Linked DNA regions of Struthio camelus. The protein of the gene in region 1 purifies or fractionates together with the protein of each later gene. This does not show direct contact. Links are inferred from orthologs where the notes say so. Each region holds a gene or a part of one and is shown on either strand. Other genes may lie near its edges.

The links.
Region 2: the proteins of SAAL1 (region 1) and SLC27A2 purify together in Homo sapiens (co-immunoprecipitation; 3 studies listed by BioGRID and IntAct, with this or other methods). This does not show direct contact. The link is inferred for Struthio camelus from reciprocal best matches to the Homo sapiens genes SAAL1 and SLC27A2.

What each region holds. Positions count from the first base shown.
Region 1 is NC_090946.1:19,853,237-19,868,841, forward strand, and holds SAAL1 (protein SAAL1), read left to right. Parts: upstream 1-5,820; 5' UTR 5,821-5,914; coding exon 5,915-6,031; intron 6,032-6,181; coding exon 6,182-6,286; intron 6,287-7,680; coding exon 7,681-7,764; intron 7,765-8,511; coding exon 8,512-8,591; intron 8,592-9,139; coding exon 9,140-9,199; intron 9,200-9,466; coding exon 9,467-9,582; intron 9,583-10,631; coding exon 10,632-10,815; intron 10,816-11,092; coding exon 11,093-11,175; intron 11,176-11,333; coding exon 11,334-11,522; intron 11,523-12,289; coding exon 12,290-12,486; intron 12,487-12,918; coding exon 12,919-13,011; intron 13,012-13,566; coding exon 13,567-13,659; 3' UTR 13,660-14,203; downstream 14,204-15,605. Other genes in the region: serum amyloid A protein, read left to right, coding at 4,063-4,165, 4,882-5,020, 5,491-5,632. UniProt on the Homo sapiens protein: Plays a role in promoting the proliferation of synovial fibroblasts in response to pro-inflammatory stimuli.
Region 2 is NC_090953.1:12,392,872-12,409,108, forward strand, and holds the start of SLC27A2 (long-chain fatty acid transport protein 2), read left to right. Parts: upstream 1-8,936; 5' UTR 8,937-9,003; coding exon 9,004-9,484; intron 9,485-12,459; coding exon 12,460-12,669; intron 12,670-13,925; coding exon 13,926-14,084; intron 14,085-14,613; coding exon 14,614-14,738; intron 14,739-16,237. UniProt on the Homo sapiens protein: Mediates the import of long-chain fatty acids (LCFA) into the cell by facilitating their transport across cell membranes, playing an important role in hepatic fatty acid uptake.

The DNA.
Region 1 (15,605 bases):
GTAGTTTTGCAGAATGTATGCTGCTGCAAAACAATGCTTTTTTTTATTTTCATCAAAAACATGACAGAGTAATGCAGCTTTCGAACTTCGTGAGGTGCAGTGTGACTTTTTCACCTCAGTTGCTGCAAAGACTTTATGGTAGAGGTTTGGTTACTTTACTAGAGGAAATTATGTCAACAGGTTTAGAATTAGCGGCAGGCTTTCAGCTGTTAATGTTATTGCTTGTGGAAAAGCAGTTAAGTATTTAAACATTTCAAGTGTTTTGTGTGGTTTTAGATTTTGGAATTTGGAAACAGCATAGATCCTACTATCAGAAACACCCCATGCTCCTACAGTAAGACTGTTGGAATAGGAGCCAGGCACCTTCAGTTGTTACTCTGCATCATGTGTGTGATGAGATCCAAACAAATCAGGTGACAGTGGTGCCTGTTTTCTTATCTGCTGGATGAGCATGTTGCTACCTCAGTCGGTCTTACTGTTAACTAACAGTGTTTAACATAGTACTTTGAAGTAGTACAGCTTTAGCTGAGTACCAAGTGTTCCCATCTTGGGGGGAGCGAAGCTTGGTACATTCTCAGAAAGCTGACTTTCTCTTTACTTACTGTTTCACATTATTTTGTTCTTTAGGAAGCTTGTATACATAGCAGCTTTTCTCACTTGCATGGGTTTTTTGTATGCTTCTTGAAGTTATGGTGGGGTTTGGGCTTTTTTTTTTTTTTTTTAAACAATAAACCATTAACTTTCGCACAAAGCTTTTTCATTTTGTATAGGAATGGGCATACATCTAACAATGGCAAGTGTAAAATCTAACAGTATCTAAAGTAAGCTTGTGCTGACAATCTCAACTAACTTGGGTATTAATAAAGAGTAAGAACGTACTCTTTGGAGAAGAGTAAGAAAATTGTTTTTTCCTGTTCTTGATGCACGTATTTTCATGTATTGGTAAGGTGAAGAATATAGGAAATGAAATGGTCTCATCATTGGAACATCCCAGTTGTACAGGGCAGCACCATCATCCTAAAGCTTCCTCGAGGATCGCACTGGAGACGTGACTCAGTGCCTACCAGCTGCAGTCAGCCACCCAGGCGGTGGCTGTATGCCACTGATGGTTTGGGCCGACCTGCACTGAAGCAGAGGAGTATGCTCATCTTGTGTTTTGCTAGCTGACCATTGGTGGCAGGGGCCCTGAAGGAAGCACAGATGAATAAAGTCTGGAGAGACAGTAAAAAGAGGCTCCTCTTAAAAATGCCCCACGTGTGCCTCAAAACATTATTTTACTGTTAGAATCATCACTAAAACTTACTGGAGTATCCATTTTATTTAAGATAAACATCTATAAGCGCAAGAGAGACCAAGTTTACAGTCATTCTGCAAGCAAAGTTTATAAGCCTGAGGTTGACAGGTATGGTATTAGTAAATATTTCATACAGCAGTATGACAAAATTCCCTGACGTGAACTTAAGATAAGGTAGTATAGTTTCCCAGAATCCAGAATAACTGCATGTGCTATTGTGCCTGAGCTGGTAATTCACTTCATCCTATTTCTCAGTTGGAGGTTTATTGATTTGGATTGCGAAATAACTAGATTGCAGACTGTAGGTTGCATTTATAGATGTTTACAGTTAAAGGACAAACAGTTTGAGGGGTGGATTTTCCAAATAGCTTTTATCTTAAATATATCAGAACGTACACCCTTGGAAGAAAATCCCTGAGGGGCCCCTAGCTGTGTTATGTTGGCCCAGTGTGTAAATACTACAGTACACCCACAGTGTGCGTGTTTTGTGCTAGGCCAGAAAGGACTATTCCATTCAAACCCTTCTGCATGCTCATGGTTGTGCTACTTGCAGAAGATTTTGGTTTGGAGCACACGTGGAACAAATGAGATCAGAAGTACCCTCTGAACCAAAAATGTCTGAGCACGGGCAGGGAAGCGTTCCTTAAGTCAGTTTTGCAGGCAGTGCTGTGTTCTAGGTCCCTGGTCACAATGGCATGTGCGTTATTGAGCTTGTACCCCCCTACCTAAAGGAAACATTTTCCAGTCTTGATTTTATTTTAGTCCTAATTAAAAGAATAATAATAGAGAGAGAGAGAGAGTTAGGGCTACTTGGTAGCCAACAGAGAAGGCATGTGAACTGATGTGTACCTTAGAGGCACGAGCTGTCACCAAGATGTGAACAGTGCAGCAAAATAAAGCACTCCAGGCCCTAGAATAACTGAGCTGTTACACCATTAGGGGTGAGGTTCATGGATGGTGGGGGATGAAATGGTGTCTGGCCTGCTGCTTTTTGCAAAGTGTTCTTTGCTAATGAGTTATGATCCAGATTTTCCTTGTCTCAAAGTTATTTCTTTCAGAGATCAGTGTACTAGATAATATACCTTTCCGCTCCAGGCCTGTTTCTGGAAAGTGTCTCTTCCTCTTTTAAGTTCCTGTTTGAAGTCCAGGGGTACCCAGGGAGGTTAGCTGCTGGCGCTTCATTAGCTCTGTTGTTATGATGCCTCTCTTACCTCACACGCTGCCCAACTCTAGCTGCTAATTGTTTAAGTGACAGTGGTGAATAGGACAACTACGCATGCGTCTTCTGCAGAGAATTTAAACATGTTAAATCATGTATGAGACCACACAAGGGGGAGACAGTATGCGCACTGAACCTAGGGTGAACTGCAAAACCCAGGCCAAACCCAGAGCCTTCAGCAGGTAAAAAACAGTTGTTACACAAGGGAAGCAAGCACCAAGCGGACTTTTTGAGACATCTCTCAAAGACCTGGCTCCTAATGCGAGAGAGTAGTGGGTACTCAAACTATGAACTATATCAGAAGGGCCTGCTGGTTAATGCACTTGATTTAAAATGCATTAGAGATGTGGCTGTATGGATCTCCTTTTGCTAAAATGCTTTTTCTATACCATTGTATCAAAAACATTCCTTATTTAGACCACCTGAGCCCCACTGAGACAATGTTGCAGCAGGATGGCTTAAAGTCCCCTGAGAGGGATCCATGACAGAAAACGGGAAGGACAAACCATACAAGCCTTCCTCGTGGTGGCTTGAGGACATGCTATCTTAAAGTGTTACCAACAGGGGCATAGGTTTACACAGTTTGTTTTGCAACGGAGCCCAAGAGCAATGCTTCATCTTTGCCCATCCACCATCTCTGTTATCTCAGCACGTGCGGGTCTTTCATTTAGTGGTTCCTGCACCAGGCCTGGTTAAGGCGGTTGATCTTTCCTTCTAGATAGAGAGACCTGACCTTGTGCTTCACAGTCAATGCAGGTGATAAGTAATTTCTGAGTTCTCTCTAGGACAAGATCCAAACAGAAGTGTTACACTTAAGCCAACTATAATGTTTTGAGCACGCTTGAGTCTTCAAGGCAGCTTCCCATACTGCTTGTTATGAGGAGCAAAATGGGCCTGTGGACATTTGAAGAAGTGCCATACGCTTTTTTTTTTGTTTGTTTGTTTAATTGTGCAACAAGAAATACGGACTTTCGGTAAGGACAAGGACAGGCTTCCTGTAATGTTTTCTGTGTTGAAAGTGGAGTGGTGGTGGGAAATTCCTAGCCCTGGGGATCCGTTCCAATTTCCTCTTTCTTTATGTTTGAATCACTTATAAATACCCTTTCTGACTGACTCTGAGGACATAAGACAAAACTTCATCTCCTTGTGGCTTCGCTCTTCTGCAGCAGTGAGTGGTTTTGTGCATCTGAGCGAGAGAAGCAGTGTTTTTATCTGGTATTTGGGAACAGGACTAATGCTTTAGCATATAGGATTTCATTGCGCTCAGTTAAAAGGAGCAGCAGGGAATGCTAAAATGCAAGTTTCTCATGCCTGTCTGAGAGGAGGCCTGAGTATAGCTTGTGCTTCTGCAGCGGGCATCAGTCCTTGCAGGGGAATAAGGGGGTTCTTGGGCTGGCTATCAGTGTTGGGGGCAGCATCCGCTACTGGTGCAGGTGCCCTGGAACAGCTGTGTGATGAATGTTACATCAGAAATCTCTAGAAGGTGCTTCAAACGCTGCGAATCTCTCTGGTTTTCTCACAGGTCCGTGACAGCCTTGGGAAAGGAACTATGAAGCTCTGTGTCTGCTTCGTGTTGCTCTCCATCATTGCATGTGCAAGTGCTGAAAACCCGTTATACAGGGGTGGAAAATTTGCCTGGGATGCCATAGGAGGTCAGTTGGTCTGTGAACCCAAGTCTTTCTCTCAGGAAACCACTCCCCAAGCAAAGGGACTACATGCAGTCCCTGGGTGCAGTCCTCTGGGCAGGAAGGTCCACACCTCCTCCTCAGAGCCCCTGGTGGTCTCTTACTAGCAGAGGGCAGCGATCAGCCCCTGCAGGCCCCTTCTGTGAGCACACCCCTGTGAAAGGCCGATGTGCAGAAGTGCTTCCCTGTGTTAGCGTTCCTCAGGTTTTTCCAAGCAGAGCACAAAGGGTTTGACAGGATGGGCCATGGCTCGGGCTTGAAGGTGCCCCTGCAGCTAAGAACAGGAACTGCAGGAGCAAAAGCGTGCTTATGGGGAAGGAACTTTTTGTGGATAACCTGGTGGCACAAACCCTCTGGCAGCCAACATCCCAAAGTGAAGCTGCTGGCTTCTCTGGTGCATAGCACGGAACCACAGGGCCATTGCCCTCTGTAGAGAGAGAAGCGAGGAGCTTCCTCTGCCCCTGAAGTGTCACGTCCAAGCTGTGCAAAGCTTCTTTTCAAGGAGCCCCCTTTCTTCTTTGCAGATCTCCCGTAGAAGAAGTGAAGGTTAGTAAAGGAGCTTTCTCAGGGGAGCCCTGGGGACGCTTTTTGGCCCAGCAGTAATCCATGAGCCCCTGGCTGAAATGGTACTCGTTGCTGGGGAAGACTCTTTAAAGTTAACATAATCTCTCTGCTTTATTCAGGGGCATGGGATATGTACAGAGCATACCGAGACATGCGTGAGGCAAATTATAAAGGTGCTGACAAATACTTCCATGCTCGTGGGAATTACGATGCTGCCCAAAGAGGCCCTGGCGGTGCTTGGGCTGCCACAGTGATCAGGTAATGGAGCGTGCGTGGCTTGTGAACAGCGACTTACTGGGGGGCTGGGCATGTTAGTTAGCGTGGAGCCCTTGCTGACTTGTACTCAGCTTTTGACCTAGAAAGAGTGGAGGCAAGGAAGCGCTCGACCTCCGAACAGCTTGTCTCCTTAAGGAAAGGAGCCTCTCCTCTTGCAGGGGAATTAGGGTTTTCTTGTTCTCCGAAGCGGGCAGCTTTCCTACCCCCTGTGTTTCTGGTGCTACGGGACTCTTTTTTTTTTCCCCTTGCTGATTCGTTTCCTAACAAATTTGTGGCTGTTACGGTAGTCCTCAGATAAGGACTCGGCATACGTTTGCTTCTCTCTCGCATTGAGAAGTCCTGCGGAAAAGCTAACCTGAGGCGAGCGAGGAAACCAACGCAAAGCGATAGCGTGACAGGGGAGTTACGGTTGCTTCAAGTGGTCCTTTTTTTTCCCCCTCCCCCCTTGCCAGCAACGCCCGGGAGAAGTGGCAGAGCCAGGTGAGCGGCCGCGGCGCCGAAGACACGCGTGCTGACCAAGAGGCCAACGCCTGGGGCAGGAGCGGCAGGGACCCCAACCACTACCGGCCGGCCGGCCTCCCCTCCAAATACTAACGGGGTCCCTCTCTCCCTTTACCCCGTGCTCCGCATAGCCTGAATAAAGACATGTCCCCGCTTTACCTCGACTCGCCCCTGTCGCACTCGCGGTTCCGCTTGAACGGGCGGCGCGGACCGGTTCAGATCGGCTGGGGAAGGGCGGGGGGGGGGGTGGGAGGGGCACGGCGCGGCGCCGCCCCGCGCCGCCAGGGGGCGCTGCGCTACGCGGCGCCGCTCTGGCGCCGCTCTCTCGCCGCCTCGTTGGCGGCCCGGCGGCGGCGGCGGCGGCGGCGGGGCGCCATGGACCGCAACCCCTCGCCGCCCTCCAGCGAGGCGGAGGAGGACGAGGGCGACGCGGTGGGCGGCACGGTCTACAGCAAGCACTGGCTCTTCAGCATCCTCACGCGCCTCATCGAGGTGCGGCGGGGCCGGGGTGGGGCGGGGGGGCGCCCCCGGGGCGGGGCTGCGGCGCGCTCGCTGTGACCAGCGGCCGCAACGGTCGCAACGGCCGCTGGGGTCCGCGGCGCAGCTCACGGCCGCCGCCTTGCCTTGCCCCTGTCCGCGCAGGTCATTAGCCCTGAGCAAGGGGAGCCCGGCGAGGGCGAGCGGACGGAGCTGGACGAGGAGATGGAGAACGACATCTGCAAAGTGTGGGACATGTCGATGGACGAGGTAGGAGGGGGCCCCGCCGGGACGGAGCGCCGACGTGGTTACGGGCCGCTGCTGCTGCCGCCGCCGCCGCCTTGCCGCGGCCGAGCGCCTTCGGTCCCAGCGGCGGGGCTGGAGGAGGACGGACGGCTGCGGTAGGCAGCAGGCTGAGCGCTGAGCGCCCGCCCTCGGCTCTCCGGTTCAGCCGGCGTTGCCTTTTCCGCTTTGCGGAGCGGAGAAGGTCTGGTGAGCGAGCGGGGAGCAGACCCCTCGCGAAGGACCCCTTTCCGAGGCTGAGCAAGCGCCTGGTGAGCGCTCTTAAGCCAAGCACCCGTTGGCAAAAGAAGGCCTTTTCTTGCTTCCCAGCTGCTGGGCGCCATGCTGATGTTTGAGGGTGCAAAGCAGGGTTGCATGTGAACGTAAAAGAAAAAAACACGATGTGCCAGACCTTCCCCTCCAGGTGTCTCGGGGTTTGTGCAGGGCTAGTGCTTAGGATCAGCTGGCCTAAGTGAGACCGTAGTCAGGACTGGTTTCTTGTATGACGTTCAGGAGTTGAACAGGAGCCTTGAGTCGTTAGGACACCATACCTTAGCTGTATGTGGTAATTGGCTGCAATTACTTCAGGTGCATAGCTTTTATTTTCAGCAACTTGGCTATAGCGATAATATTGATTCTGTTTCTAAAATGGTATATTTCTCTCTAGCCATCATAACGCATCATAGTAAAAAACGTAGTTGTCTCTGACAGATAAACGGCAGCTGTAGATTCATAGAGGCAATTTAATGTAACTTTTTGGATTTTTTTCTGAACGTTCTCAAATACTAGAACCAAGTAAGACTTTTTTTTAATCCAGCTTCTTTTCTCAAGTAAGAGATTTTTTTTCACGTTCTCTCTTTAGACATTTTTGAATAAACATGGAAGATATGTCCTTCACTCCTAAACAGAGAACTAATCTCGTGGTTTTATGAGGTGAAACAAGGAGGAGATTTCTAAGACTTTCCTCCTTTGTATGCTCTGAGCAAGTGCTAATGGTAATCCCATCCTTTTTCTTTTTATGTGCCTGGATTATGTCATGGTCCAAGAAAACAGCATTTCCTGAATTCTGTGTCTGACCCTCCGTGAGATAGAAAGCAAAAGAAACTGAATGTGACTGTTCTGTTTGGCTCCTTGTACAACATACCGCCAGCATCTTTACTCTTAGGGGCTTGTTGAGCTTCTGTTATTGAAGAGTGAGGATGGTAGTATAGCGTGTTATTGCCAGTAATTGTTGGCAAATACTTGATGTTTTGTAATGAGTTCAACATCTATGTTGAACTGTGGACTGATCTATGTGATCCAGTCCTTGTTCTGTGAGAAAAGGTTTGACTTGTGTTCGGAAATTATCAGTCAATTTGCTTCTCCATTTGCTTTTTCCACAGGATGTTGCTTTATTTCTTCAAGAGTTCAACGCCCCAGATATATTCATGGGAGTTTTTGCCAAGTCAAAATGTCCTCGCCTTACTGTAAGTACGGGCTGTCACAAAGCTATCCCATGTTAATAGCAACAGTAGATAGCGCTGTACATGCATTCATAAAATATCGCCCTCCTCTTCCCATTGCATTTTTGAATGAGTAAGGGAGGAAACAGAACACACAAAATCCAAATTTAATTTTTTTTTTTTTTGCACGGTGTATCTAACATGGTCTAATCAATAATTATTTCAGTAATGCTGAAGTTGATATATGTCACTATTGATAAAGGTTTAAGCATTCTAAACCATGTATTTTTAAAAATCTCTATACTCAGAAGATGAGTTTTGCTGGAATTATATTGAGAGCCCTTTCTTTTATGAGGAAGTGAATATCTGAGAGTCTTGCATTTATATGTTGATGTTTTTGTTCTTAGGACTCTATTTTAATAGTAGGGGTGTCAAATTAGCTTCAAAACAGTGTGTGTGTGTGTGTGTGTCATATAAAAAGAGAGAGAGAATGCGAGCAAAGTTAGTTTCAAGGTACAGTCTCTTCCATGGAACACCATAACTATAACAAAAATCTGAATAGTATCTCTCATGAGTATGTTTATGTTTAGGTCAATCTGACAACATTGCTTAGAAGATCCACATCTCTGTCTTGAAGTTGATGGATTGTATGAACTCGGAAATCAAACTGGAAAGCCTCTCTGAACCTTTCTTACTTTGTATGGTGGCTGTGGAAGTAAAATTGTGAACTATGTCGCAGCAGCTTAATAACACTGTGTTTTGACTTTTCAGGAAATCTGTGTGGGAATACTGGGAAATATGGCTTGTTTCCAAGACATATGCATGTCTATTAGCAAAGATGAGAATCTTGGGTAAGAGCGTACGTGCTTTATACCAGCATACGTGAACACTGCTTTTAGTAATGGATTTTGGACTGAACAGGTGAACTTATATTATTAGAATTTTTTTTAACTAATAATTTGACTTGATAAAATAAATAGGATGATGTCTTCTGTCCTGTTAAATGCGAGGAAGATAATTTAAATCAAATTTACTTACTTTCTGGACTCTCACCATCAAGCAAAATATATTATTATAAAAGGAACTAAGTTTGCTTTCCTTGCCTCATCTTCATTCAAGCCTTTTTGGCTACCCATAACTGATTGAGAAGTGTTCAGTGAAGATAAAAGAAAGGATATAGACCATCTTTTTTTTTTTTTTTTTACCATCACCAGTCAAGCTCTTTGAATCATTAATTTCTAAGTCTGGCGATGTTGAAAGACTGGAAGTGCATGCGCAAGCTGGAAAAGCTGACTTTAATTTTATAGCTGTAGCCATAGTCTAAGATTAATCTTTTTACAGACTTTTTTCACAAAGATAGTTTTTATTAAAACTCTTATCTTGAATTTTCGGCTTACAGCCAAGTGTTACTGCAACGTTTGTGTGATTCAGACTCTCCAACTCTTCTGGAAATAAGCAGGTAGGAGTTCTTGATAATTAATATATCACTAATTAATATAGTTCTGAAATGTTCTGAGGCCTATGAAGAAAACTGCAAATTGACAGATGGACTGATTATTATTATCCCATCCTACCCTTTTGTAATTTCCACATTGTTCTGGAATTGATTTGCTGTGGGCTATATTTCTATTTCTGGCACATCAGTCCAATTATTTTGGATTTATAGTGGTACAGTTAAAACCAATCTGTTGGTTTCTAATTTGTTAAATGGGCAATTCTTGTCTAGGTTGCTGTTAACTTGCCTCTCACAACCCGAGGTGGCCAATGTCTGGGTTGAGAGAATCCGAGAAAGCCCTTCTGTCTTTGACTGTGTTTGCTTTATCATGTCGAGCTCTACAAATGGTAAGTTCCTATAACAAGCTGTAAATTAGTAGGTGTTTGCAGAAAAAGTAATTGTTGAAGTATGCCGTTTCAAAGACAAGTATTTTCAATTGGGAGTGCAGAATTTCTTTACAGTGAAGTGGACCCAAACCTAGATGAGTAAGAAAGGTTTTTGGAAGATTAAAACAAAGTCTAATAGAGAAATTTTCTTTTGGCACAGTAAGGGGAAAGGGAATAGTCCTTATTAAGAGATAGACATATATCACTCTTGAGCCTTGAAATAAGACCTGCTTTAATTTTTTTTTCAGCTCAGAGATGTATTTTTCAATTTTAAAAACTGCCATGTTTGAGGAATGCTAAGTGATAGAATGGTTCAGTTCCTCTGGCAGCAGAATACTACATAGCTTTGGCATGCAGTCCAGTGGTACTTAAGTCTTTTCTTTTTCTTGATAGCGCTAATCTAGCAAAATCCTAATTAGGCAACAAATAACAGAAACATTTTGAACAGCATTTATTTTGCAAGTTCAGTTGAATTATAACAGCAATAATTGTTTGTCTAGAAATCCTGATAATTTAGCTTTTGGAATTTGAAGAATGTCAGCGCCACTGTTCTTTTTTTTAGATGATGTAATGCACAGAAATCACACTTAGTCCAATTGCAGTCACAGATCTATTTAAGTGATATGCTGATTGACAGGTGTAAGATTAGCAGAAAACTGTGGATTTAGGGACAAATGTGGGGGTTTTGATTTCAGGAGCAGAAGTTATGACTTTTCAGCAGCCTCAAGCTCATAGTCTCTTTGCAGAATGAAGTTCCTACTTTGTAAATTGCATGATAAAATAGAAGGTGTCAGTGAGCTTTCCAGCAGTCCCTGTTTATCAAGCTCTTCACCTCAATTCCTTTTTGTAGCAAAAATAAGCATAGTAACCCTTAGTAGATCATGAGTGAGACTAATATATTTCAGTACTGTGTTTTCTCTTATTACTTTTTTATGTTAGCATTTGGTGAACTCATTCTTGCTGCTCATTTTTTTTCTGTTCTTGAATCTGATATATTCTTTCTTGTGCAGTTGAATTGCTGGTCAAAGTGGGTGAAGTGGTGGACAAACTCTTTGATCTAGATGAAGAGCTAATGTTAAACTGGATTAAAAATGGCACTTGTCAGTCCGTGGGACCATCTATAGATGATTCCCCTGAAGAACTTCCAGATTTTAAGATCGTGCCTTGTATACTTGAAGCAGCCAAACAAGTCCGGTATGTGAGTTTTCCTTTCGGTTTCATGGCTGGGGAGACTCCTCATGACCTCGTTAAAGCTCATGTGTTGAAAATCTCTCTTCTGTGGGAGCTACATAGTTTGCCAGTTTGGTAGAATGCCTCGACTTATCGTTCGAAATTAGCGAACTAGCTTGTAAACAAAGAACACGGCAGTGATTGCTGATGGTCTTTTAAGCATCTGAAACAAATTGGAAGTATAAACTTCTCAGTAATCAGGTCTTTAATTTGGCTTTGGTTTTTGTTCTATTCTGTGTAGCTCAGATAATCCAGAAGGACTTGATGTTTATATGCATATCTTGCAGCTCCTAACCACGGTGGATGAGGGCATTCAGGCTATTGGTAAGACACTTGAGTTGCTACATATGGTGGGACCAAGAACGGCAGTAACTTTTAGATCCTCAGATATTTAATGGGAAAAAACAATTAAGGTGCCTAGATTAAATTTGTTGGGTTTGTGTGTGTGTGTGTGTGTGGTTTTTTTTCTTTACCTTCTCAAGTGCAGGCTCCTGATGGAGGAAAAGAAACTTGGAGTTTGCTTTATGACCTAGTTTGCCATGAACTCTGCCAACCAGATGATCCAGCAATCGTTGTTCAGGAGCAGAAAACTGTATTGGCCTCTATTTTGTCTGTACTTTCTGCTATGTTTGCCTCACAGACGGAACAAGAATACGTCAAGATGAGGAAAAGCAAGTGATGCGTTTTTCTTTTCTTCTTCTTCTTTTTTTAAAACTATTTTTACAATTGAGTTTATGTATGTGGGGTGAAAGATGGTTAATTTATTACTGTTTACTAGCTGTCAGTTTAGAACACAAAATTCAGATACGTGTTTGAACACTGTAGGGTTCTTTAATGGTGACCCTAAAAACCACAGCTAGTACAAAGCCCAGGCACTGGATACCTCTGAAGAGCTATGGTAATAGAATCTGCAGATTGTGTTCAGTCCCCTCTGCATTGGGTAAAGTTGGAGGCGTGAAAATTTGGTAATTCATCTTTGCTAAGAGATGATGTCTTGATAGTGGTTGTTGTAAAAGAAGGAGATATGGCACTAGCTTAAAAGCATCTTTATCGCTTGTTCTATGCATTGAACAGCCTTTCTAATTAAAAGGCTATCTTGGGCATGTGAGTCAGTGTTATTGCCCCACAGGACTGTGGAAAGAATTGTACTTGCTCTAAGCTACTACCGGAGACATTCTCCTCATATGTCTTACCACTGGCATATAATTTTTATAGATACAGGTTAGCTGGCAGTAAAGAGTGTTTTGGGTTTTTTTGTTATATTTCCACTTGCTTTTTTAAAACAGTTTTTGTCTGGTATAAACACAACAGTGTCAGAATGTACATTCCTATATCCTTTGTATAAAATCTTCATATATGTTTCAAAGTTCTAATCCATTGAGAAAGGGTGGGGAAAAAATTTTGGTGTTAAACGTAGTTTCTTGTTACTATATATTAGATATGCCTCTGATTGGGAGCTTGATTCGTATCTTACAATACATGGAAGGCTGTGGGAAGAGATCTGTGGATGACTCAAAGGAATCCAAACAGGATGAAACTGGAAAGGCAGAACTAAATGAGGAAGATTTCCATTTGAAAATTTTGAAGGATATCTGCTGTGAATTACTTTCCAATATGCTTCAAGAGCTGACCAAGGTAAAAATAAAATGTTAAGAGAGATTTTTGCAGAGTAGGTAAGGAAAGAAAATGTTACTATTAATGGGGCATTTTTCTGTGGCCTTTCCCCTTTCTTGTGCAAGTAAAATTCCAAACAGGAAATCACTCGAATGGAAGTCAGTTTACATAAGGAAAGGAAAGAATGTCAAACCCTCTATTATATTATCACCTCTTAGCTGGACTTCTTTATTATGGGAGCATTAAGACTAAGACACTGTTTTCACACCTTTTTGACCTTTTTGTATTAGTTATGTCTGGTATCGTCATAGAACTGTTAAAGTCTGTTCCATGTTCTGCCTTTTTATGAGAACAAAGTGCATACTGTACATGCTCTGTGTGCTACTGAGAGTTTGTTCCTCTGACAGCTGTTCATGACATGATAGTTGTATTTCTTGTCTTTTAATTTTCCAGGAAAATATATTAGAAGGGCTAAATCAGGGACATTTAAATGAGCAGACATGTTCCTGTGCGTTTCAGAACCTCTTGCCTTTGTATTTCACATCGGTGAGTATATGACAAAGTCTTTAATGTAGCTGAAAAAATACTACTTTGGTGGTATGTCCTTTCATAAGCAGGTATAGATGTATGACAAAATTGCTTATGAACAGGTAACATGTCATATTAGGCAATCTTATTTTCTCCCTCTTCTGGCTTACTTCAGCCAGAACTTTCCCTAGATCATTGGCTGATACAAGGGCCAAACTGTGCTGAAATGAATGAAGGTCTGCAAACTTATGCTGAAAATGTGTCCCTTACATTCTTGTAGAATGATTATAATAAGCGTATTTCATACGGAGCTTTTCTTTGTGTATTTTGAAACAGTAAAAGTTTTGGGAAGGTAATAAATCCCTGTATGTTTTGGAACTTAGGCCAGCTGAAATTGCAGGCTTTAGGAGGGAATGATTTACTATGGAACATTTTCCACTCTTCTGTACAACGGCCTTTCCTGGCTGCTGTTGATGGGAAGATACAGGAGTGTAGAAGCCCTTAGACTAAGTTCAGCGTAAGAATTCTGTATTCCATGGAAACGTGTTTCCTGTATTTGCAATTTATTTCCAGGTGGAGAGCTTCCTTGAAGTTTTGCGTGAAGCTGATCAGACGCTTGCTGACAATCTAGAAAAACGTTTCCCAAGCCTGAAGGTCCACACCTAAGAGTGTACATGAAATATTTTCCTTCTTTGGGATGAAGATTTTTTGACTGTTTCTTTACAGTGTTTTAGAAGTCAAATTTTCAGTAAGTGCAGAAGAATAAGGCAATGTCCTTACCAACAGATGGCTTGTAAGAGATGTTCCACGTAGCCCAGATTAATTTAGGGTTAATCTAGTCTGCATGGGGAAGGAAATGATTGTAAGTTTAGTTCTGCCTTTTCCATCGTGTTTGCTCTGGTGATGAGAGACTGTTGATTTCTAGTTGCTCTTCTGCAGAGTAGCATTCTTTGAATAACTCTTGATCCTGTGCTATTCAACTTATGTTGGAACAGTTAAATGAATGAAATGCACTGAGTATAGTTTTTTAACATGATGCTGGCCTTTTCTAAGTTGCTGTTGGCAGAAGGAGGATTGATCCATGGGAAATCTCAGATGTCCTCTGGTTAACAGGTCATCGTCTTTTCCAAGCACCTGATAAAAACAGAGTTAAATTACACAGGGAAGAGGCTTGTTTTAAGTCCTATCTGTACTTGAGCGGATATTGTAACAGAATTGTATCATCCTGCTCCTTTAAGATCTTTTCACTTCTTCTTTTAAAGCCTCTTCTGCGCTGCAGCTCTGAGTCATCTAGGGCCTGTGCAGTTCAAATGGGTGTGAGAATATCCTTATGGATGGTCAATTCTTCAACTTCCAGCTATTACACCCAGTCACCCAGAGTTAAAGTTGTAGGGCAGGTTTAGATTTAATCCCTGGCATACTTGCAAACTTTCTGCTTTATCTAAGCAGTCTGTACTTCAGTTTAGGAATATAACGTGTATCTGACAGTTCTTTCCTCATTCGTGTGGTTTATGAATTATCTGTGAGTGACCTTAGAAGTGTCATTTTAGCCTGGGATTTTCAGGGGAGCTTAAGGTGTTGGCTCACTTCTGGTCAGTGAATTCAATGGACAGTCTTCTCAAATCCCACTGTTAACTACCTTAGATTTTAACTATATTTTAGCTACGTTACTTTTTTACATCACTTCCCTGCATGCAGTGCCGCTAACATTCTTTTTTTTGTGTCTAAAAAGATGCATTAACCACACGGCAGCTCCAGCTGTTTCTATAAATTAGAGTGGAAAACAGTTGATCTTTACTATGTTTGAGATATAAAGGAAAAAGGGAGCCAGAGCATCGGGAATAACTTAATAACATACACACACCTGCTATCTATGTTTTTATAGGCTTTAAATATTGTGCTGGGCCATGTTTTGTTTGCCCTGAGTTACATGTATATGTGGCAAGATACAGTATCCGTATATGTATATAGCCTTTTCATCCAAACTTCTAGTTTTCAGACTAACCTTCCCCTTGGGCTGCCAGTGACCTCTTAGTTGTTGTCAGGGAATTTAGGATTAGAAAAATCTGACTTGCCTCATTGAAAAGAATTGCAATGGTTTCTATCAATTTTTGTATGCTATGTTTATTGGAGAAAACTGGTAACTCTGAATAGGATGACCTCATTTTCATACTACTTTGACAGTTTTTGGATATTTTCTTAAACCTACAGATTTGTAATAAAGTTTCTTTAAAAAAATGTACGCTTTTCTTCATTTTAAGTGTCAATTAAATTCATGTTCTGAGTCACTGGAATTGTCAATTAGACTCTTCACTGTATCATTTGTAAGAGCAAAACTGAACCTCTTCCTAACCTAAATATCCTGTAAAATGTGTTGTCCTTTATTGGATGTTCCTTTTAACTATCTCTTGCTTTCTTCTCTTAGTCATTTTTATGGCTTGGAAGTTTATGGCTCTGTCATCCAGTTGTTACATTTTTCTGAACTTACCTTGTCCCAGGGCATACCATGAATATCTTTATAGTAGTCCACCCAGGTTAAGAATTATTTCTAGTTTGCACCTCTTGAGATTTGGTGCTTTCCAGGGCTTGCTTAATGTAATGTACAAAAAAGC
Region 2 (16,237 bases), on another chromosome or scaffold:
GGTTTTGTGATATGCCTTGCTGTACATTACCATCTCAAATTGGAAACTGCTCCACATTTTTCTTGAAGAGTATTTGTAAGAATTATTAGTGCAAACTACCAGTGACTTTGGAATAACTGCATTGCACCTGGTTTTCTTCTCACTCATACTGGAGTAAAAACAAAATTGTAGCTTTGTCATATTAGGCATCTGAACGACCGTTTCAAACCAAATTCCGGGTTCCTTTAATCACTGTGGGTGTGGCAACTGGAAGTACCATACCGGCCTCCTAATGCAAAGAGTTTTTGCACGATTTTTGTGGCAGTAATAAGTACTTGTTCAACCTGTATGTCCTTGGAAAACACAGGAAGCATTTGCTGTCCAATAACCTGTTAATCCATCCCAAGCTTCACGGAGAGGACAGCCCAAAACACCAGGTACATTTTACCTCTATTTACCCTAGGGAGAAGGCTACAAAGAACAGCTTTTCCCCTTTTTTTCCTTTCCACGTTAAACCCCAGAATGCTTTGAAGAGACTCCCTGAAAAGAAGAATAAGCCACAGAATCCCAGTCACTCTGTGAAGTTTCTTGAGCTTTTTCTTCTTTAATCAGTTCTGCCCTGCTCTCCCCTTTGCTCCACAGGCTAACTGACAGCATAGGTTCTTCCATACGAATTGGGACAGGGTTATATATTAGTTTGAAGATTCCCTTTGACAGACAATTATTCAATTACTGTTTTCTAGTGCGTGCACGCAGGTTACTCCTGTAAAAGAGGCTGGAGTACCCTTGGACTAAACAAGATGACAAAGCTTTTCCGTTCAGTTTGCTATACCTCAGTAAATTAGGCTGCAAGAATAAAGCCTCTTTTGCTCTTTCTAAAAAATATAGCTCTTCAATAAGCACTTTCATTTACCTGATGCTCTTGCTGGCAGCATCTTTATCTATTGTTCACACTGTTATGACTCTTAGAAGTTTGCTGAGCTAAAGTATAAGCTTTCTTTGATGGTGGGATGGTGACAAATTATACATGTAGAGTTTGATCTTGAATGTCTCCCCCAAAGACTTAATAAATTCTTTGCGAGTTTTATGCTCAGTCTAGTTCAAAAATTGGACATGTGGATGTTGTCTACTTTTCCATCAGAAATGAAAAAATGGTAAAGACACATTTTGCCCTGTACTCAATGAACTGTATCTGAACTAACTTTCACTGGCATAGCTCTAGAATGATGTTGGCTTTCTATCTACAATGAACTAACAGAATTCAAAATCTAATTATGGAATGGAAACATTTTCTCAACTCCAGAAAACTGGACAAGGCTCCCTGTGGAGGTTCTGTATTAGGAGACAGGATAATTCTTGAGCTCTGACAGCTCCCTTCCCTGATCTAGATGAGCACATCTGTTCTGCTGCAACCCCAACCACATCCATCTAAGAAAGCTGAGGATGGGCACAGAGCCAAGAATCCCGTTTACATCTAACACCAGGAATCTCTCACGTGTCATTGCAAACTAGTACAATTCGGCTCCTAGAATTTCATATCAGTTGCTTCTAACACCTCTACAACAGAAAGATGAGTTTCACTATGACTCAGACAGCTTCACCTAGAAGATCTTTAGATAGTTCTAACTGAGTAAAGAGCTAAGTCAAAGCAAGCTACTCCAAATAATATAAAAGAGTTTAAGATCTTAAATTTTAATATAGTAGAAGCAAACCTGATATTGTAAGGTGATTTGGTGGGCAATTTTTCAGCAAAATAGGTTTTTAATCACCAAATGTCAATTCCTTAAAATGGAAATGTTTTAGAGCCAACAAATTTAGGCAGAATATAGGAAAGGTTCCCTTTCCTTCTTTCACCTTCTGCTCCAGTTTTCCATGCAGGCTGCTAGGAAGATAGGTACTCACAGTCTGCCAGGAGTGCTGCATTTATTCCACAAGCTTTCTAGTATTGCAGCATAAGAGTTAGAACTCCAGCTAAAGCTACGGGCAGCTTTTGAAGACCAGCTGCCCTCTCAAGATAACATATACACTTCTAACCACCGGGCTAAACTAACAAACCATGATTTGCAGGATGGAGTACCTAAGATCCATAACCATTAATTGCATGCATAGCAACAGTACTGGCATTTAGATTTTTCATACTCTCCTACTAGCACGACTCCCATTTCCTGTGGAGTGCAGCAGATCTTGTGTATGTCTACACTATTTGAAATCTGTATTTGCAGCCTATAAATCTGGACTGTTCATCCATATTGTTTTGTTTAACTTGAGTCAAGCCATGTTTACTCACAGCCAGGCTGCACCTGCTCATCTTTTAAAAGTAAGGTCACTAACGTAAAAGGAACATAAAAGAGCTTGTAGCAGATTGAAGCAATGTAAAGGCACCCTGCAACATCTAGATTTCTTGATTTTGGGGGCGGGTGGAAAGGGTTGGGCAATACATTAAACAAAAATCTATTGGAAATTCCAGGGTCATAGGAGAAGTTTGCTCACTCTGAGGGAGACTTTTTTGGAGGCTTCTGATGGCAAATGACTTTAGTGAGCACATGGGTCAAGTCAATTGCAGAGTGGACCAGCAAGTCAATCCACCTAGCTGACCAACTAGAACTTCTGATGTATTACAAATTTGCAAGCATCACCCCTCAGGAGTGGGGAAAGAGCTAGAATACTACTGATAAACTACTGAAGTTAGTGGTTTAAGGGGTGCCAAAGAACTTACTTCACTGACCCTCATCTGCTGAACCTTTGCCAGAGAGGGAGGACAAAAATGGAATGCCTTGAACTTTGCCAACGAATGGGTTCTCTCTTGCGGCTTTCTCTCTTCTTGCATTTACAAAAATGATTCTGCCTGGTTAATAGACACACTGCAACTCATGTAGAAGCTGGAAGGGGACAGAAGGAGAAACTGAGAGAGAACATGTAGGAAAGGAGATCAAGCTGTTGCTTATATGTTGCCTCACTCTCTCCTTTGCATTGTTCCTAATAATGACTAATATGACCCCTTGATGAGCCAGTTTTACTCACTGAGTCAGCAGAGAACTCACCCAACAAAATACAGAACTTTCTGCTGGCTTAGTGAGCTGAACTGGTCACTGAAGTGCCAGAAGAGCACTAGAGTTAGAGCAAGGGAGGCAGTGGAACTAGGAGGCTTACATATGGAGAAGAGGGAAATGGAGTCACCCCTTTTGGCATCACCAGTGTATTCGAGCAGTTCAGCCTGTCTCATCTAATTGCAACCTTACAGCAATACTGTGATGATACTGCAAATAAACCTTGCAGCCTTCAATAACAACTGCAGTAACTGTGGATTTGAAAATGGGACAGGAAGGCATTTGAAACTGGAAGTTGAAGATTGAAGACTTCAGCCCAGCAGTCCTAAAAAGTATCCAGTTGTGGCTTTCAGTGCGAAGAGTCAGGTGAACCAGGTGAGAAAGAGCACTACCCAGCTGTCCTGTTGCAGGGACTCAACCCTGCAACCTGCGCTCAAGGCACAACCCATCCGCTCTGAACCTTGTCTCTCTACCACTGGTTACCAAGTAGCTAAGTGTTGTTCTGTGGTATGATTACTGTCACTTTAGCAAGCTAGAAAGGAGTGTGCCACCTGGTACTGTTTCAGTGAGGTCTCCCATCAAACCATTAAAGAACAGAAAAGAAAACAGCAGAGAAAAAAGAAGTGGCTGTCTGCACAGAAAAAGCTGCAGCCTGGAGTACCCCACGGTTAGGCAGCATAAGCAGTGCATAGCTTTACCACGCTCCCTGTCTAGGGAAGGCTACATGCCTTCCCCCTAAGCAGTACTAGCAGTACAGACAGCTTGAATCCCAATTTAATATAAACCTCCAGTTACTTGTTACCCTATGGTGACATCTTGTGGATCAGAGCAAAATACCCCTGCCTAATTCCACAGAGCCATGAGTGCCCTAACCTGAGAAATCTCTTTCCCAAGTCTCATGAGTTTTATAGCACCGTATAGGGTAGATGGAATTGGTTTAGCTTTTCTTTAATTTTTCCTGCTCTGTAGATAGTGCCAATGAGCACTGTAGGAACAAGCTCTACACAAAGAACCAAAAATAGAAGTAAAAAGGGAAAAAAGCAAACAGGAGAGTAGAGCACAGAGTCTGAGAAAAGAAGAGAGTAATAAATAAATGTCATAAACTACATTTTCTATCAATAAAAGTGTTTCCAATGTCCAAAGCATAGTACAAGCAAGTGTTGCGCTATTAGGAGTTAATAGCTGAAGCTAATGGGAGCCTATGCCTGCTTGTCACAGCAGCAGGAGCATGCAAATAATCATCACCACACAATCATAGCTCTGCAAATATTAAGCAGCTAAACCTCCCAGGATGCCTGTGCATGTAGTATCATTCACACAGGCTGGAACTGAAGATTCAGTTCAGATTCAACTTGGGATACTAAGAAATGGAAAAAGTTAGCAATACTCCGATAAAAATATCAATTGATTTTGGAATGTTAATTTTGGAGCCTCCAGTTTGAAATACTCAGGCATTATTTATAAATAAAATTACAAAATTAATTTCTCATATTTCTTTAACTATACTAAACTGTATACACCACCTACAGAGGTATAATTTTTATTAATCTAGCAAGGAAACTTGGTATGAATGATCATTCACTGTCTAAATTAAATTTCTATGAAATTTAATTTAAAAATTTTGATAGGTATCAATCTATTTCTCTACTACAGTAGATTTTTATTACTTTAACACAAGTGATCAGCCAATGTCTGTGGCTAATTGTCATTTATTCTGAAAATACTTTCACTAAAAGCTATTCCAGTATAACTTCCTATGGAGACATATTTATCCAGAAGGTAATTTTCCAAATAAAGAGTTATTCTAAAATAGCTGTAGTCCTTTAAATTCACATCCTATCTTACATCAGAATAATACGTAGCAAAGATGCTCCAGGTTTCTGAGGGAAATACCACCTTACATCTTCATATTCACAACAATTTATACATCTAGAGAACAACCATTCAAGTCCAAAAGAAAATGCTTAACTCCTTAGGAGTTCTGATCATACCCTCAGTGAAGGAAATGAATATTTTAACAGTAACTTCAAGGGGAAAGGATAGAGTCTGTGTGCTCTAATGCTGTAAATCACTAAACATTTTATTTTAATTATTAAAAAACAACAGCTTACCAGTGTGCAATATTTTGCTGTCTTGCCATTTTTATCCAATACCTCTGAACACCTACGTTGACTAGTGTAAACAGATGGTATGCTGAAAATGATAAAAGTTTAAGTTATGGTCCCGTAACATGGGAAAACATTCATTCTATGTAACAAGAAATACATTCATTTGTGACCTCTGCAGGCATTTTAAAATACGATACATCAGCCCTGACTGATGCAGAGAAAAGAAAGAGTTCCATGAATGTCACCTATCACGGAGATAGGATAAAAGTGCTTGTATTTCAGGTACTCCCACAAAGCATTACAAGAATGGGAGGAGCAGTGAAAGCTGGAGAGGAGGAGACTATGGAAAGGCAGCACACATGGCAAGTCATAAACTCATTAACTGAGCACCTGTTGAAAATGGTAGTGAACAGGTTTGAGTAGCCTCTGGTTGCCACACAGGCCTATGACTGTGCGGGCTCCCGAAGGGGTGCTTAGGCAGGGGTGTTTACCCAACATTGGCAAGAGGCCCTCTGCAGAGCCTGGCCCATGGGCAATGTCCAGCACAGGATGGTACTGCTGACTTCTGCAAGGTGGGCAGGGCCCTGTCCGGTTTCCAGCACAGGCACAAGCACACGTGCTTCTTGTCACACCAAACAAGAGTCAGCCAGTCACAGAAAATGCCATCAATACTCTCCAATAAATCTGCATTTAGAACAGCTAATTGGGAAAAAAAAAGCAAGTGTAGGTATTAAATGAAGTTTATTGAACTATAAAACCTAGCAAGGAACTAAGTTAATAAGAAAGCACTCCTTTGCCCCAAGCTAAAAATAAATGATATTTGATTCAGCAAAAATCCTGAAGCTTACACAATGCAAATTATAGCCAAACTGACACCTGGTTGAGGAAAAATATCAATACACACTAAAGCAGTCTATAATATTAGTCAGATACAAAGTAACCCACATGGATTAGTAATTCTGTCAGAAAAAGAATTTAAAAATCAGAAAAGCACAAGACACTTCAAAGCCATGTACCACATACAGCATGATCGTGATATTTTATTAACTTCAAAACAAAATATGAATTAGCAGTTAATTACCTATTAAAGTTGCCATGCTAATGAGAAATACTTGAACAACAAAATTGTATGTAGCAGTAGACTAATACACCTTCATCCCTTGGGATTACTTAAGAAAAATAAATTGTCCCCGTGTGCACCACAGACTAATTCCTAAGAGGACTTTGCTTTGTGTGGTTTTAGAGAACAAAAACAAATCTTAGTGCTAAATGAAAAGTATCAGAAGGAACATACATATAGACATAGGTCATTAGGACTCAGTATATATTAGAGAAAATAACAGGGACAGAAGTGTAGTTTGTTTCAAATTTGGAGGCTATACAGATGCCTAATAACGTTGACATACAATGCTGACATAATTACTGCTTGAACTGTTGAATTCCAGTTGCCTTTGCTAGGCTAATAACAGGAAATACTGCCTCTGAAGTTTACGCTGGCTCAACAAGCTACCGAGTTCATAACTGAAGTCAATATGTAGAGTTAGAAACTATGAATAGACTAACTGGAAAAGGGTGAAAAAGGTGCATCTCAAGGTATAGCTCAGGATAAAAATGTATTGTGAAAAAGCTGGCCAGCAAAACAAATATTTATTTTGTGACAATTTACAAGTTTTTAAAAAATCCATCCTGAACAAAAAGGCAGACAGAAGTCCTTCAAAAGGCCACTCTGGGCATACTCATAATAAATTAACCTGAGGCTTTTAGCTCTGCAGACCGCTGATTAAGATTCCCTAGTGAACTTAGAGAACTAATGCTACTGCCCATCTGAGAAAGCAAGAGGCATAACTAAACGAGAAGGTTACACAGGAAAACTCTTCTTCACAAAACACATCGCAAGACCACATACTCTTCTGAGCAAGTGCCTAGAATTAGTTATGATAGTTTGGTAATGTTTTGGAAGGTCTGGCTGTGGACATAACCTATAGGGCATATTAATTTCTCCCTTGTTTCCCATGCAGTCACCATCAGGTAAGGAAGCTTTTAAAAACATATTGTATCTTTTATGGCTGTAACTCTTCCAAAAAAAAGTGCTAAGCTAAAGTAACTCTTCAGGAAACCAAACCTGGTAATGCCTGATGCCCCAACTTGAAACAGTAGCTCTGAGAACTGTAAAAGACACTGTTTTATCCAAATGCTAATGCTTAATAACAGTCAAAACTTAGCCTAAACATAAAACAGTTACTTTTCAGGTGAGTTAGCTCTCTGAACCAGCTCATCACTCAGTCCCATCATTTCTAATGCTGGCACATGGTGAGGAGTATGTGAGCAGGAAAGATGCTACTGGCTTTAGAGCGCTTGAAATCCATCAGGTCCAATTTCAGCTGCAGAGGAACTGCCTGGGAGGTCCAACTACAGCTAAACTAAATGGACTGCTCAACTCCCTTGCATTAGAGATAGCTACAGTTCATGCAATAGCAAATTGAATTCATTTGTCAGGCCAATCAAAGTCTGTAGTAAAGAAAAAGGTTTGCTGGCAGTTAATTCACTGAACTGAATCAACTCACCTTGTGGCCAAAGAAATACCCTATCTGACATAAAAAGAGAGCAGGGAACTGACTGAGGGAGGAGGAAACTGTCCTCTCAGTGACACATGGCAAAACAGCAAGAAAAAAATAATATGACTTTTATTTCCAGCAATGGCTGCTTGAACTTCACTGAGAAAAAAAGTAAGTTCTGGTTGCTGCGTCCAGTAAGAAGGGTGAAATTCCTGGAGTTTGCTTCAAGGTTGTCAAAGTAACCAATGGCTCTCCTAGCCTTGGACAAAAGCAAGGCAGAGAGATAGACTGTAAATTCCTTTTGTGCATCTAGAATACTAATAAACATTTTTATTTAACTCAAAAAAAAAATCAAATCATACGCTAAATTTCCAGCTGGTTCAGTTGCTGTTTGCCTATTTTGCCTATTTGCTACCCAGCCAGGAAAAGTGCCAGGGCTGGCACAGGAGGAGGGTAGGAACATGTTCCTCAGGGCAAGCTGTGTGAAACTATGATAGTTTCTCACCTGATCTTGTAGGGAATCTCGTAAATCTCTCCCGGCGTGAATCTTGACTAGGCTTGGCTGCCTGTGTCAGCGATGACTGCAAAGTCAAAGGGGGAAATCCATATGGTCCGTATACAACGCAGTGCGCGTTCTGCCTCGGAGAGCCGCATCAGGCTTGTTTGTAACGAAATGTGCCAACCTTCCGGCACCCTCAGGCCCAAAACTGTGCGTCTCTTCTCCAGCACCGCTGGGCACAACTTCTGACACTGCAAGCAGACATGTAACCCACCAGCACAGATCCCTGCCGGCCCTGCAAGGCTGTGACTACAGCTTGGCGCTGCCAGGTGCGCTCAGATTCCCTAACAACGGTCATCAAACCGGGCAGCGACTGCCACCGAATTAGACAACTCTTCTGGGGGCACCGAGGGTTTGGGGGAGGAGAAGGACCGGCTCTGCAGGTCAGTCAGCCCTTGCTGGTGCCAGGGCAGAAGCAGGGCACGGTGCTCGGTTCTGCCCCAGAGGCGCCGACGGAAGAAGCGGGGACCTGGAGGGGAGGCGACCCCCCCCCCTCCGTGAAACGGGGACCGAGAGGCGGCTCTGGCGCTGTGAGGGGGAGCAGGCGCGGCCGTTGGTGGCCCCCCCCTCCGCGAGGCGCGGCCGTTGGTGACGCCCCCCCCCTCCGCGAGGCGCGGCCGTTGGTGACGCCCCCCCCCCCCCTCCGCGAGGCGCGGCCGTTGGTGACGCCCCCCCCCTCCGCGAGGCGCGGCCGTTGTGGCCGAGCGCGCGCGGGGCGTGAGAGAAGGGACGAGCAGGGGCAGCAGCGCGGCGCCATGGTGCCCGCGCTGTGCACCGCGCTGGCGGGGCTGCTGCTGCTCCTGCCGCTCCTGCTGCGCTGCGCCCGGCCCTACTTCTTACAGGACTTACGCTTCGCCCTCACGATGGCGCGGGTGGCGGGGAGGGCGCGCAGAGCCGGAGCCGGCCGTCCCGCCCGCACCCTGCTGGACGTCTTCGCGCGGCGGGCGGCGCGGACGCCGCACAAGCCGCTGCTGCTCTTCGGCGACGAGGTCTCCACCTACGAGCAGGTGGAGCGGCGGAGCAGCCAGGCGGCGCGGGCGCTGCGCGACGCCGCGGGGCTGCGAGCGGGCGGCTGCTTGGCCCTCCTCATGGGCAACCGGCCCGCCTACGTCTGGGTCTGGCTGGGCTGCGCCAAGCTGGGCTGCGCCATGGCTTGCCTCAACTGCAACGTCCGGGCGACGTCCTTGCTGCGCTGCTTCCAGAGCAGCGCGGCCACGGTGCTGCTGGCGGCCCCAGGTGAGGAGAGAAGCCGCTGAGGCGGGCCGCGGTCGCTGGGGAGAAAACCCACGGGCCGAACGAGCGGAGGCTGCTCCGCGCAGCGGGGGCACCCCCGCGGGTGGTCGGGTCTCGCCCGTGGGGCCTTCCCGAGTCTCCCCGGGGCGGTTGGGTGTCCCATGCCCCGCGGCGCCTCGGGTGGCCGGCCGGCCGCTGCAGGGTGCTGAAGAGCAGGGCCTGGCTGCTTCTGCTGGTACCTCGGCATCCAAGAGCTGAACCTGGGGATTTGAGAGGTTACATCAGACCAGAGGGAAAGAAGAGTTTTCTGGATAATTTACCCCATGTTTGCATTTTCTGATCATGTGTGAGACAAGAGAATTGCGCTCAGGTGCTCTGTTATTTGATAAGGTTGATGAAGCCATAGTGCTAAAATAACCCTCAGTCACACAACGTTATTCCTAATGTTCACAGTAATGCTCAGGTTGGAAAGAAACAATTACGGTCATGCAAAAGAATCCTCTTGGTGTAACTGGACAGTGACTTAGACACCTTAAGGTGGTTGCAGTCTCTATAAAAGTTTGTGTCAAGTTTCAATTCAAAGACAAAAAAGTGAACACACCTAGATGAACCACACTACTTTTTCATAAAATAGACGTGTTGGTTTGTTTTAAGTGGAAAACTGCATTCTGTTCCACATTGAATAGAAACCTTATTTCATGCCTAGTCTTTCAGCTTTCTGTATATATATATTTGTATATATGTACATATATGAATGCCTGACTGTACGGGAAGTCAAAGACACTGTTTGTCTGCCCAGAGTTAAAAACATTTACATGAATATATACCCATTCTCAGCTTAGATAGTTGAACTCATTCTTCTACTGCATGTGATCAAAGTATTTTACTCGCCCCAAACTTTAGGAGTTTAAACACTAAGTTTTCTCCTTTCTTGATCAGTTTCTACTTCACTGAAAATAAGTTCTGTAGAATCTCTGCAATCTCTTCAAAATTAATTGGTATTTATCAACATTTATGGGAAAAACTAATGTGTGCAAGAGAAAATTAATTTTTCTCCTTCCTTCTCAACAATTTGAGTAATCAGGTATTGACCTCAAATTTTCTAAAAAAGCCTTCAGCTCTGGGAAGGGAATTTTTAACGAAAAAGTTTGCTGAAAATTGAGCTTTATTAATGAAAGTTTACTACATGCTTAAATCCACTAGTGATTGCTGAATATAAGGAAAGGAAAGAAGTCTTTTTCTGTTGGACCTTGATGCTCTCTGTCCTTATTAAGTTTCATCCTTTATTATCTTGCTTCTTTAGGCAAAAGGTAAATATTGCCTCATCAGAACTTATCATAATACATGATCATGTCTGTGTGCTTCCATAGGCAAGTTTCCAGAAAAAAAAATATGCTGAATTAATTAATACAGAGTATATGCTATCAATGATATCTACAACAAAAATGAATTTACAAGTTTCCTGGAGAATTATTCATCTCTAAGGTGCCAGCTTGTAAAATGTGTGCCTTATTAATAAAGGGCCTTATTTTCTTTCCTTCATGGCTGATTGTGGCTCAGGAGCGAAACTCTTCCCCATCCAGCTTTATTCTTTGTGCAGCATCTGTGGGGTGCCAGAGAACATGGTGGAACAGAGGAAGACAGACCAGGCTATACTAATATTTTGAGATGTCCTTAGCTGTTCACTAACAGAAGCCTCCATGAGATGTTCATGAGTAGCTCAGTGGCAAAGGGACATCCCTTGTAATCTCAGGATATTTTTTGGACCCAAGTTTCAGCAGAAGTTCAGAACTGTTTGATGGAGGATTCTAAAGTCTGAGAGACTTGAAAAGTTTGCTTTTGTGCAATTGGGACAACCTTCTGATGCAGGTCTGGGCTTCATCTGTAGTCACTTAAACTGAAAATACAGTTTTGAGTAATAGCATTAATTCTCAGTATTAAAATTCCTGAGAGATTTGTTAATTTAGTAGTATTTTATTTACTCTCTGTTTTGAAATAAAATAGGTGCTGAAAAAATAGATACCATTATGAAAAGGTTTTATATTATGATATTTCAATGAAAGGTGTTGAGGATTCATTTTAAATTGTTTGAATGGATAATTCTGGAAGGCATTTAGTCTAGATTTCTAAGGAAATAAGGTATATACAATTGCATCAACTGTCTGCTCATCTTGCTAACAACTCTTGAATCCATTACCTAGTTCCATTTGTTAAGGGAATAAAAGTTTCAAGGATGATTACGTACCTTCAGACTTGGTAGAAGTTGTTAGCCGGTAGAGGAGAGAGATCAGCATTACTGCTTCAGTAAGAGAAAGGCAGGCAGGACTTGATGATGCAGGGAGTATGCCTCCTCAGATTGCATATATCTGCACTCATGCTGTCTCTTGTTGATTGGAGATACTGGAGGGAATATATGGGGGAATGGGGCATGTGGAGGAGACAGACATAGGAAGAGGTAGGACACAACTACCTGGGAGTCCAGGCGTCAGTAGTTCCATTACTTATGGAGTAAGTCACTTTTGCAGTTCTCCTCGGTGTGTTGAGACTTTATAAAGGTAAGGCTCATCTTCGTGCATAAAACATGGTGAGATTTAAGTAGCACCTACTTTTGTGTGAGCAGTTGCTAGGTAAGGCATTTCTCACTGTGGAGACGAAACATTAGCAACATGGAGCTAGTTAGGCCAGGTGCCTGCTACCTCAGGGTGTGCAGGCACAGGGAAGTGTGCCTGGATGGCACCTTTTTAATTCTGTTTGTCCATTCAATCTCCTGCTGCAGAAGATCATATAAGTCCCAGTTCTGCGGGGAGACACCATTTCTCTTCAGTTCTTTTGCTGGATTCTGAAGTGACTTGGGCATGAGTTTCTCTAACAGCAATTAAATATGAAAGCTCCTGAGGCAAAAGTTGATGCACTGATAGTACAGTTCACTGAATAGTACAGAATTTTGTTATAATACTTTTTTTTTCTGCTCCTTTAAGAGTTGAAGGAATCTGTTGAAGAAATACTGCCATTGTTGAAGGAAGAAAATGTTAAAGTTTATTACCTAAGCAGGACATCTGCTACAGACGGAGTTGAGAGCTTTCTTGATAAAATAGATGCTGCTTCAGATGAGCCTACTCCATTGTCTTGGAGATCAGATATAACCTTTAAAACTCCTGCCATGTACATTTATACCTCTGGTACTACAGGTAATGTAAATTCATAAAAACGGTATGGAAGGTCACACATGCTTCCTGACGTTATGATTTTTGAGTAAGGAAAGAATCTGTCACGTCGCATAATTCTTGTGCTTATTCATTCCCTCTGAGGTGAATGAAAAATTGATACTGATATCTAAAACCAAAAAAGCATACAGAACATAGGCTGACTTTAAGCATCAAGTCTGTGGGGAGGGAAGGGTGTAGAAGCCAATTAAACATACATGTTTTCTGCCAGTAAAGTAACCGTGCATCTGCTGTCTCTTGTCCCTGGAGACACTGCTGGCTTAATTATGTGTCTCAGCACCCATCGCACACCTGTACTTTGGATCATGAACTCTAAATGCCAGCCATGAAGTCCTTGGGTGCCAGAGTACCAAAAACAGTGAATGCAGCATGAAGTACAGCTAGTCATAGCCACTATGCAAAACTGTAGCTGGTATAGGAGCTGCTGCCTGCCTTACAAAAAGGTATCTAGTGTTAGGAGCACTCAGCTACAGCGCAAACTCATTGACAAGGGTGAAGACAAGGTAAGGTATGACTCCACCCTAGCTTATTCCTTTAGCCTTTCAGTGAACAGCACTCCCCTGGAAGGGAGGAAGCATGAATTTGAATCCTTTTAGGCTGCAGAATACCAACATCTCAGGTGTCTTTCATCCTTGGTAAGAGCTCTAACAGCTCCATTCTTACATAAATGGAAAGCGCTGCCGTCACTTTGTCTTCTAGCATTTATTTCACAAGAATAAAGAAGTAGTCAGTTCAGCAGTGTATGATGGGAAACCAGGAAAAGATTTTGTAATATAAATTCCAATTTCACATAAGATGATTCAGAGCTGTAAGGAAATACCTAATTCCAGGAGAGATGCAAGATTTCAGACTCATTGCTGCTTTAGCATTACCATTCGCATTGCTCAGCGTGCTAAATTCTTCCAATCTCATTCCTTGGTACCTGTTTTTCCCCATTCTCTAGGTACTTATTCCTAGGTACCAGAGTATTGGGAATTTGGACACTTAATGGGAGATAATCACCTAAAAGTTACTTGTAGGAAGACACTCTAAGCCTCACTAAGGCTAAACCCTAACATGTGTTCTAGACACGAAATGCATGCTTCCCTAAACTCTGGAACTATAATTTGCCGAGTCTAATGCAAGCATCGGAGAATAAAAGAGAAGAAACCCTTAAATCCTTGTGAAACTGAGTGGTGTTACTATGTTTATTGTTCACCTTTTTGGCTGGCTTTAAATAGGTCTTCCCAAGGCTGCGGTGATAAACCATGAACGAATAATGCTAGCTTGTGGTTTGTTTGATGCTGCCAAGGTTACCTCAGAAGATATTGTGTATACTGCTCTACCACTCTATCACAGCTCTGCGCTCCTCATTGGAGTCCATGGATGCATCATGAAAGGTACAACACACTCGACTAGCACAAAGTGTTACTGCACGGAATTCATGCACAGATGTGATCATACAGAGTTGCTTCTTAGCTACCAGCCTTGAAGTGAAATAGTTGGTTACACATGTCCCAATAATCTGGGACCGCATAATTCAAGAGATGTTCTCATTTCTGATTACTCCCTGTTTTTCACATGACTTACACAGATATTTGCCCTATACAGAGTTTATTTCAGCACCTGGACAAACAGGATATGTCCTATCTTACATGACAGCTCTTTGCATAGTCTTTGGGCTAAGCAGTACAGAGTGCCATATGTTTCATCTACCATAATAGCTTTTAACTTTTTGATGAACAGAAATAGAGGTTGAATTATTCAGCGTGGACTGTATTTCAATATGTTTTAGGAAAAATATTTCTAAAAACCTATAAAACCCTAATTTTCCAAGTTTTCTACAATGTTGCACTAAGAAATTCTAGACAGTCTTATGATATCACAACAATTGATCCTTCTGGTTTTTGTTTTACTACTTCTACACAGGTGCAACTATTGTTTTGCGTGCCAGATTTTCAGCAAGCCAGTTCTGGGATGACTGCAGGAAATACAATGTAACAGTGATACAATATATTGGGGAAGTGCTTCGGTATTTATGCAGTGTGCCACAGGTAACTCTACTTTGTGTGTGTGTGTGTGGCTAATTAGACTAGGAGTATTGACTATGTTCAAAGAAAATCTAACTGTAAGGAAAAGCTAATACACATTAACAGTCACAAATGATCCATAACTTAGCATCTATCAGGTTCATTGAGCTTACTGTGCACTACATGGCCAAAAACCTCCCCTTGCATAAAGGCAATGGATGTAACTCTCCCTCGATTTCTGGAGTGGCTTTTGGCCACTCCGGAATGGAAAAGAGAGGAGCAGGGGAAGCCTTAGAGCAAAAACATACTTCTTGATTTTGAAAAAGTCTTTTTCTAAGTCAGAGTGATCAGTTCCCAGTTAACAATGTTTTCCATGAAAGTTTAGCAAAAATTATTACTTTATTGGAAAAACATTGTTTGATCAGCATGAGCTACATATGTGATTCACTTTCCCATTATGCTTTGTTAATCAAATTGTAATATACTGTTACTGCAAAAGGCTTCTCCCTGTATGTATGTAATGTTCTCTCTGGCCCAGGAATGCTTTTGGAAAGTCAAAATATTAAAATGAAAAGTGCATGGACTGTGGCAATAACAGTGTTGAAAACTTCTAGGTATAATTTAGTGTAGTAAGTTTTGTGTTTAAGTAGTTCTTTCTGCACAAGAGCTAAAGTTACTTTTTGCAGAATATTAAAGATATTACTCCAGATGAGATCTTGCTGATCTCCAGACATGAGCTGGGACTAGTAAGAGTTCAAGGAACCAGTTCCGAATAAAATAAACTATTCCAAAGATTTGAGTTTGAAAGAACTTTACATATTAATCATCAAATACATCCAGTCAATTAAAATAACACAGTAAGCAGTGTTCTTATTTACCATTTATACAGTGCCAAAGCAAACAGAATGTTGATGTGGGGAATCTTAGATAGTACTAAAAAGCTATACTCTTCTCTAATGAGGTTTACGATCTCATGGCACACTAACATGACATTTTTTCAAGGAAAAAAGAGCTGGTGGCTTGAATTAACCACTCCTTTGAACAGTGGAATAATCACAATTAATCTTTTATTTCTGTTAAAATGGATGGAGAAAACACACACCTTATAGATCACTCTGCAAACCAAAAATCAGTGAGGGACTCCCTAGGAACTAAAGGAGCTATGTCATTTCATATTTGGACAATGTGATACTTGGGTATTTTGAAGGTCGGAAACCTTAGCCCAAGACAATTGTGACCCCCCTCCCTCCCCCCCAGTGAAAGTTTTAATGAGATTATTTAAGCATAGCTACTTCTAAAGATACACTTAACATACTGTCACGATAGTGCATCTATTCATAAATACCTTCCTGCTAAGATCCCTCCAGTCATATTACTTAATCCTTGATTTCAAAAATGTCCTTGCAAAAAATTACTTTCATGGAGTTAAGCCTTGTGGGTAGCAATTAGAATTTAGTAAGAATGAAGGTAATATCAATCAGTTTTCTTAGCACCATTTGATAACCGTAAGTCAGAACAGAGGA